2 linked regions of the Daphnia pulex genome follow. Each later gene encodes a partner of the first gene's protein in a complex. Links are inferred from orthologs where the notes say so. Each region holds a gene or a part of one and is shown on either strand. Other genes may lie near its edges.

Evidence for each region.
Region 2: myb-related protein A-like (region 1) and protein lin-54 homolog share a complex: the UniProt entries of both Homo sapiens proteins name them as parts of the DREAM complex. The link is inferred for Daphnia pulex from reciprocal best matches to the Homo sapiens genes MYBL1 and LIN54.

Annotation. Positions count from the first base shown.
Region 1 is NC_060022.1:6,353,631-6,358,255, reverse strand, and holds the end of myb-related protein A-like, read right to left. Parts: intron 3,986-4,625; coding exon 3,753-3,985; intron 3,626-3,752; coding exon 3,463-3,625; intron 3,390-3,462; coding exon 3,073-3,389; intron 2,985-3,072; coding exon 2,785-2,984; intron 2,552-2,784; coding exon 2,410-2,551; intron 2,342-2,409; coding exon 2,185-2,341; intron 2,124-2,184; coding exon 1,884-2,123; intron 1,823-1,883; coding exon 1,733-1,822; intron 1,674-1,732; coding exon 1,410-1,673; intron 1,345-1,409; coding exon 1,183-1,344; intron 1,114-1,182; coding exon 976-1,113; 3' UTR 253-975; downstream 1-252. UniProt on the Homo sapiens protein: Transcription factor that specifically recognizes the sequence 5'-YAAC[GT]G-3'.
Region 2 is NC_060026.1:5,752,625-5,755,827, reverse strand, and holds the end of protein lin-54 homolog, read right to left. Parts: intron 3,115-3,203; coding exon 2,834-3,114; intron 2,761-2,833; coding exon 2,523-2,760; intron 2,453-2,522; coding exon 2,211-2,452; intron 2,144-2,210; coding exon 1,965-2,143; intron 1,886-1,964; coding exon 1,869-1,885; 3' UTR 715-1,868; downstream 1-714. UniProt on the Homo sapiens protein: Component of the DREAM complex, a multiprotein complex that can both act as a transcription activator or repressor depending on the context. In G0 phase, the complex binds to more than 800 promoters and is required for repression of E2F target genes.

The sequences.
Region 1 (4,625 bases):
GAATTTTAACATACTTTACATTATATTTGTCAGAAATGCTCATTAAAATTAGTTTTTCGGTTTAAAATTGTATCACGGAAAAAGAAATCATCTGTTTAATGATTCCATAAAAAGCGTTACTGCATGTCGACTTTAAAGTTTAAACTCGCTCTGATGCGATAAGTCACCATTATCTATTTTTTTTTTATCTAAAGTTCGATAAGGAAAAAAAAAACCGTTACAGAAAAGATCGCAAACTTTTCGAACAAGAGATGGTTTTAATATAATTGTATTTTTTTTTAGTATTTTCCATGTGAGTTTAAGAACAAATGAAATCAATTTTGCGAGTAAATGTCGAGACAATAATGAGCAGGTTACATAAGAAATACTACAAATATAAAAATAACCGATAAATACGACACATTTCATTCTAATTAGACAAAGATTTCATGGTTTTTCCTTACTTCCACCAAAGCCGAATTTTTGAATTTTTTCCTGTGAAATGTTGTGATCATGTGTTTATGAGCTACGAAACCAAGCACGGGTAATATATTGATTAATATCTGACATTCGTTATAAAAATAAAAAGATGAAAAAAAAGAAGGAAAACAAGAAAAATCAAATTTCCAAGGAGCCATTACATATTCTTAAAGCTTATTAGCGAAAGGTACTATGTAAAAGAAAATTCATCCACTAATTTTGTTCGCAGCGGTAAGCAATACCAGAGGTTAAAAAGAAACAGTGCCAAGACTAGGTCACTGTTCACGTCATGTTCAAAGTTGTTCGCCGTCAAAATTAATTTTTTTCTCTTAACGGATTGTGCTTATCATTAGAGAGGTTAATTTACACGAAACCGTACCCTAATACGATGTCGTTGAGTACGTTAATTAATACAAAGAATTTCATGCAAATGACAGAAAACAAAAATTTCAAAATCCATTTTTAAATGCTACCAAAATTGTGTCAAACGCTAGATCTCTTAGCTAGAAATTTTTGTTAAAATGTGCATTTCTTTTTGCATGCAAGTGGTCCTCCACGTCTGTGATCCATAACCAAATAGGAGCGGGCTCGTTCAGTCAATTCAACTTGGTCTCTAGTACGCCCGCACGCCACCATTTCCCATCTCACGTCCACCTGCATAAAGAACATGATGATGTGCCATGGACTGTCTTTTCATCTCAGATTTTTTTCCGAAAGGCAAACCTTCTCTGATGGACTGCGAGAACCAGTGCTTTCGATGCTGCTGTTGGGACGGTGTGGTGGATGTCCGAAAGCGTCGTCACCATCTTGAGTTTCCGGAAGAGTTTCGCGTATGATGGAGGGGGGAGAAAATAAGACAGACGAATCACCTATCAAGGATTTACTCTACAAAGAACAAATAGATTAGGGAATGATTTATGTATTAACACGAATCAATCGAAAAGACTTACAGGGGTTTCAGGTAAGAAACTAATAGAATCGCAGCCAATTCCGGGCACCTGGATATTTCCAGGAGTGCTCCAAGTGGCATGCAGTGCTTTGCGAGCTCTACGATTTGGAGACTTTGGAGCGGGACCATTTGAGGTTAAAACTGTGTTTCCAGGAATGTTCTCTTTGTTATTAGGTTTAGTAGAAGCAGACACACAGGGTGCAGAGCTACCACCACTTGTTGTTTGCCTCCTATCTGTCATGTAGCCGCTATCTTGATGTAAATTCTACACGCAATGAATAATTTTAGTGTCAATCAATTGAAAAAGCGTAAATATCTTCTTACCTGAACAGGCGTATGTAAAGCTGAATCGGATGGGTCGGTGTCCTTGCCGATAATATCGTTCAAGTCGTCAAACCGCGTTGGAGTATTTAACTGTAAAAATATCAGATGAAAATTTAGTTAAAATAAGGTAAGATATATTTACGAAACTTACAATGTAGTTGATAGGTCCACCCTTTTTCTCCATTTCTGCCAAAGCGTCTTTGAAGGGAGTGGGGGTTCGAGTGATGAGTTCTTGATTTCTACGAAGTGGAGTTCGTAGTGCAACATAATCAGCAATACCGCATCCTCCACGGGTCACTGGGGTCAAGAGCGCAGATGGTTTGGGCGCTGAGGCACAAACAGGCGTTGACATGATGGCTTCCGTGTGGATTGACACAGAATTGCTCAAAAACTATGCATAAAAACATTTAAAAATTTGGCTGCAAGTTGGAATACACGCAACAAAAATATACCTGGGAAGGACTGAAGGGTAGTGTTTTCATCGGCGTATGGGCGTTCTTACGCGGAGTAAAGTGCATTTCCTGGAATGGTTTGTTCAAACTTGCGCAATCTGAGCGGAGGTCCAAATCGGCGGGAACAGCCTCTTCGTTGGAAGTTCCCATCCACTCACTGTGAAAATAGATCGGTTTTTTATTGTAAAATGTAAAAAATTGTGTTATATGTTGATAAAAACTTACGATGTTCCATCATATCCGCTTGAGTCGGCTCTCACTCTTCGGCTCTTGCCTCTTCTCAATATAGGAGGAGTGCCTTGTTTCAAACTGACAGTAGATGTGTTGTTTTCTGACGACGTGCTCTCGTTGTTCTTTGTAGCATTTCCTTAATAAATAAAAAAGGGATTAAAATATGTTCACTTTAAATTAACTCCACCGAATGCAAAGTTTAGTTTTATCAACTCATTTGTGTGCATGCAATACATAAAACAAAAATGTCATTTTAGACGTTTGAAGTAATTTTGATTCAATCAACAGGAATCTGTTACCATGTAAATCTTAAAGCTTATTCAAGTATCTAAAATTATCTTTTATCAGGTCAGTGGATTTCAACAATACCTTGTTTGTTTGTCTCATAGACGTCAATCACATCATCTGGTTTGTGTGCGTTGTCAGCGGTGCCGACAGCTGGCTGTTCGGTCGTGTTGGTAGAGACGAATTCAAAATGTGGAAACTCCGATAGGGTCTCACTGATCAGAGCTTGATTCAAGCGATTGGGGCTCAGACTTTCCGGGCTGCTCAATTCACCCATGACGTACCTAGTGAAACCACACACAGAGAAAAATGAAATGTCAGCTTACATTCTTCTCAGGGATGTGATGAAAAGCAATTGGTCTCTCAACATACTTGAGAGGGGAAAAGATATCGGAAAAGTCTTCAGGCGAGGAAACAGAGGGGGCTCTTGAATGGCTGCCGACACTGCCACCAATGTTGTTTGACAAGCTGGCCCCATTGTAAGTATCAAAGCAACTTTGCTTAGGCTGTGACATGCCCATGTGTGAATTCTGGGCTCGATATGCCGGTGATGGATTAAAGTTGTTTGGTACCAACTCTACCGACATACGACTGTTTTGACTGCACGGCCTTGACATCATCTGATGCTCAAACATGGGTGACGGATGTTCCGATCCATATTCCGCAGAGCAAGATTGTTCAAATGGCATCTAATTAAGAAAAATGAAATAATTTGGTTTGATTATTTCGTTGTTGTGGCAAAACTTTTCAATAAATTCTAACCGGAGTCGAAGCAAGAGGGTGAGGATGCTGTTGGTGATCATCCACTGCAGGACGAACTCGCTTCCGGCCACGTCGTTTCCCTGTGTCAATGATGCTTGAACCATCTGTTTCATAGCGCTTTTTCATAGCCGAGTTCCAGTGATTCTTGATGGCATTATCCGTTCTGGATAGAGAAATCAGACAAAAGATAACGGGTATGTAGGCATGAATAAAGAAAAGTGTCAAGGCAAGCTCCTGTCACACCCATGTGATGAATGGATAAATCGGCAAAGCTCTTTTTATGACAATACCTTCCAGGTAGAAGTTTGGCGATCTTGGCCCATTGATTTCCGTATTGTTCATGAGCATTGGCTAGCAGCCGGTCTTCTTCCTCCGTCCAGGGTGACTTGTTGATGTTAGGATCGAGATGGTTGTGCCATCGTTCTCGGCATTGTTTACCTATCCGGCCATTCAGATGCTTAGCAATCTGCGTCCACTTCTTTGGACCATAGCGATGTACCAGTTGGACCACCAAGTCGTCCTCCTGTGATAAAAAAAAGGATGATGATTCAACTCAAAACTTTGACAGCATAGCATTTCTATATTCTATTCATGTCCACTTTTGGGGTGAGGTGGGCTTTGGGGGATGGGGAGAAGATAGGTGAGAAAGAGGAAAACATAAACTTGAAGGGATTTTTTTAGAGGCATCTTCTCACATATCTGTGTGAGAAGTGTGAACACGAGAATAATCCGGGCTCTTTACTTTTAAAAAGACCAATTCTGGACGTTTACAATTGAAAAGCAACTGAAAATCCGACCATTATTAGATTTGGTGGAAGGGCCAAATTCACATCACTTGAGACTATAATTTCACGTTTCTTCATTCCTCACCCAGCCGCCTTAAACCCTTGCGGCCCTTTTCTTCTTTCAATTTGGACATTCCCTGCTGTTTCACCAAGCCATAGAATTTGGTTTCCTGTTTTAAACTTTGCTCTCTCTCCCCTCTTCAAACTCCCTCCTTTCCCCCCTCTGGCATCCGGCATCCTCTCTATTTGCCGCAAGTTCCCTCCATTCTTCACGTTTTCTTTGTGATGACATCGTTTCTGCTCCATACAACACAGCATAAAACATTCAAGGTAATTATCAGGCCGTACGATCTTGAGAGGACACTTTCTTTTAATGGC
Region 2 (3,203 bases), on another chromosome or scaffold:
CAGTTTTCAAGAAAAGTAATGCTTAGGGAATTAATTGCGACGTTTTTTTTTTACACCCGCATATTTAGGTGGTTAACGGCTCTGTTTCTAAACTTTGTGTCCTAACTTTTCAGGTTGAACAACCATTCACCATGATTTGAAATAAAAAATCGCGATGGAAGCCTACCTTTCCTGACGACAAGGATTTTTTTGGATTGAAGTTGCGATAACTCTAACGAGGGTTATCGCAAAAAAACAAAAAACAAAACAAAACGGGGACACGTAAGAAACCGAGCGTCGGGTTTTTATTTGGCGCTAAAAGAGATCACTCCTCGACCTCCTCACCCTGTTTCCAAGTTTAGTACGGGTACTGCGTAGGTAAACAAAAAATTTACAAATAACGCGCTTTTAATTGTAATTTTTATTTTGGGAAAAAAGTGAAAAGCAATTAAGTTCAAAATGTTAAATGTATTTCTAAATTAAAACGAATCTAATCTAACCCGGTTTTATTTTTACTTCCCTCCGCTTCCCTCTTAGTCTTTGAAATGGATCATTTTATTGCTATATATTCCTTAATTCAATTTCAGTTACAGACTCAATATACACATTCCATCAAACATTTTTAAACGATGCGAATTCACCGTGATTTGCAGTCTCTCTTTCGATATTTCGGAAACTAGTACTTTAACCTAGTATTAAAACTAGGAAAAACCAGGACATGTTAGAAAACCCGAATACAAAACCCACATCGTTCTGTATTTTAAAAACCAAAAGTAAAACAAGTCAAGGGAATAACAACCATTACAAAGTAATCAATATTATAGATCATTGGATTTCCATTTTTTTAGTTAAAACGAGTAAACTTGGTATGAGCTATAGATTTGGTTACCCAGTTAGCTATCACCCATACAAAATGCACAGCTCTATACAAAAAAAGGAGCATGAAAATTACACCAATATTCCAAAATTACACCAAAGAAAAAAAAAATTATATTTGGTGTCTATTTAACTTAACTCACTCTCTTCAAGCCTTAGATTATGGTATATTTGAACCACGTCAAAAAGTCCTAAATCATCTCCCCTTGAAGCCATATTTTTACATCTAAAAAACTCAAGATGAACAAAAGAAGCAGTAGCAAAACAATAAAGACAGAAGGTTAATATATCTATGACATGCACGGAGTTCTATCAACAAATAAATCCCGGCTCCATTTATACTAAGCTTGGGTCAGTTTAAGCCGAACGACCAAAAGCGACCATCTCATTGAATTTCTTCTTAAAAAATTATAATGTATAAAACTATGGTCCCAATAGACTATTCAACGAAGAGTTAAACATTCACAGCCGAAAAGATACTATAAATGTTTTTTAGTAATTAAAAAATTAGTTCTTGAAACAATGTTATTGTTACAGTAACGTAATCAAAACCTCGTTTGCACATTGGTAAAGAATAAGCTACTAGTACATTTTTAAGAAAAACAGCCTTTAATTTCAATTCTTTAGTGGTAGCGCTCAACAACTTAACTTCGACAATAGAATTCGAAAATTGGCAAAAATCACGACTTATTTTTGGGCGCTACCACCACTTGAAACTCAATGAAATTAATCGTTGTTTGTCTTTAAAGTTTCAATGCAGCTCACTGTTTACCTAGCTGTACAAGAGGTTATAATTTTACTGTAAAAGAAAGGTAAATAAAAATATTTGTAAATTGTTCTGCGATCATATTTTCACTCTAAAATTGACTGAAGCTAAACGGCCGCGAGTTGTTTAAAACCCTTTGGGGGATAGTCTATTGGGACCGTACTTTGTACATAGTAAATTTAGAAATGAAATCCGTGAGATGGTTGGCCATCTCTGTTCGATTGCTGACCCGGTTGGCGACGTGTCATCAAGGGCTGGCAGAGACTGAGAGATAGGATATAGAGAGTTAATTGTTTTCTAAACGCTTGAATTTTTTGGACGTTGACGGCAATTTTGATAGTACCTTTGGCTTTGGAAGCGTATTCTATTATTTGAAGTAGGCATCGACCGAATTCTTCAAGAACGAGGCCTTCCGTTTCAGTAGAGGTTTTACACAGCCTTTCGGCCTCTTCAGCCTGGGCAAGAAGGCACTGACACGTAGCTTCCACGACTTCTTGGGTGATGAAACTAAACGGCGGCCTACTGCAGAAAATCACGACCATTTCAGTTATAACGTGAAGAACGTTGCAAAAATTGTGAAAAACAATACCTCGACCCAGCTGCTGTAGGTATTGAAAAGCCTTTAGGAGGATCAGTGGTGCGGTCTTCTTGTTTGCTATTGTGAGAAGCTGGATTGCTCACCGTTCGGCTATCGCCAGAACTGCTCGGATTAGTTTGAAGGGCTGCCATTTTCGAGAGTCTTTTCTCTCCAGGTCCTGGCGGAGAACCAGCAGGATCGACACAGTTTTTGCATCCGATACATTTACAAATGGCGGAGCAAGCTATTTTGGCCTACGGAACAATTTCAACAATTAAATAATCGTGCATATTTAATTTTTTCAAACATATTTAACAAACAAACCTCGTAACATTCGCAGTAGTTTTTTAAACAGCCGGAGCGCTTGCAGTGACATCCTTTATTGTGACGTCTTGGCTCCGGACCCCATCCGACACCAATTTTGGGTTTGAATGCATGTGGATTACGATCTAAACATGATCTGATAGCTCGCAGACGTAGTTCTTCGTGCTCCAAGTTGTTGGCGCAGCAGACGCAATTACAACCATGACAGAACTCGCCGTTGGCAAAGCAATCACAATAACTGAAAATTTTCAAGCCCAAGAGTTAATTCCCTATTTTTCTAAAATGTTGAAGTAGAAAGTGGATGAATTTACAGTTTGAGGCACTGCGACTTGGTACAATTGCATGGCTTGCGCGGCTTTAGTCCGTTCGATTCCAGTACACTTTGTGCTTTTGCCTGGGATGCAGAAGCCGACATTTGAGCAGACTCGGGAGAAGGCGGAGGAGCCGCTTTTGGTTGTTGGGATAAACGGGAAGTTGTACTGACGCTAGATACTACCGGCGAAGCAACAGAATCTGACACAACAGTAGCAGCACTGGTTGTAATGGTCGAGAAGTTGACTGTTGCTGGCGAACCACTCACCCCGATTGAACTCTAAAAATAAATTGAAAATAAACGTTTCATCAATAAAATTACGTGATATCTAAGAAATCAAATTCGTCGACTTTCCTAGACCTATTAAA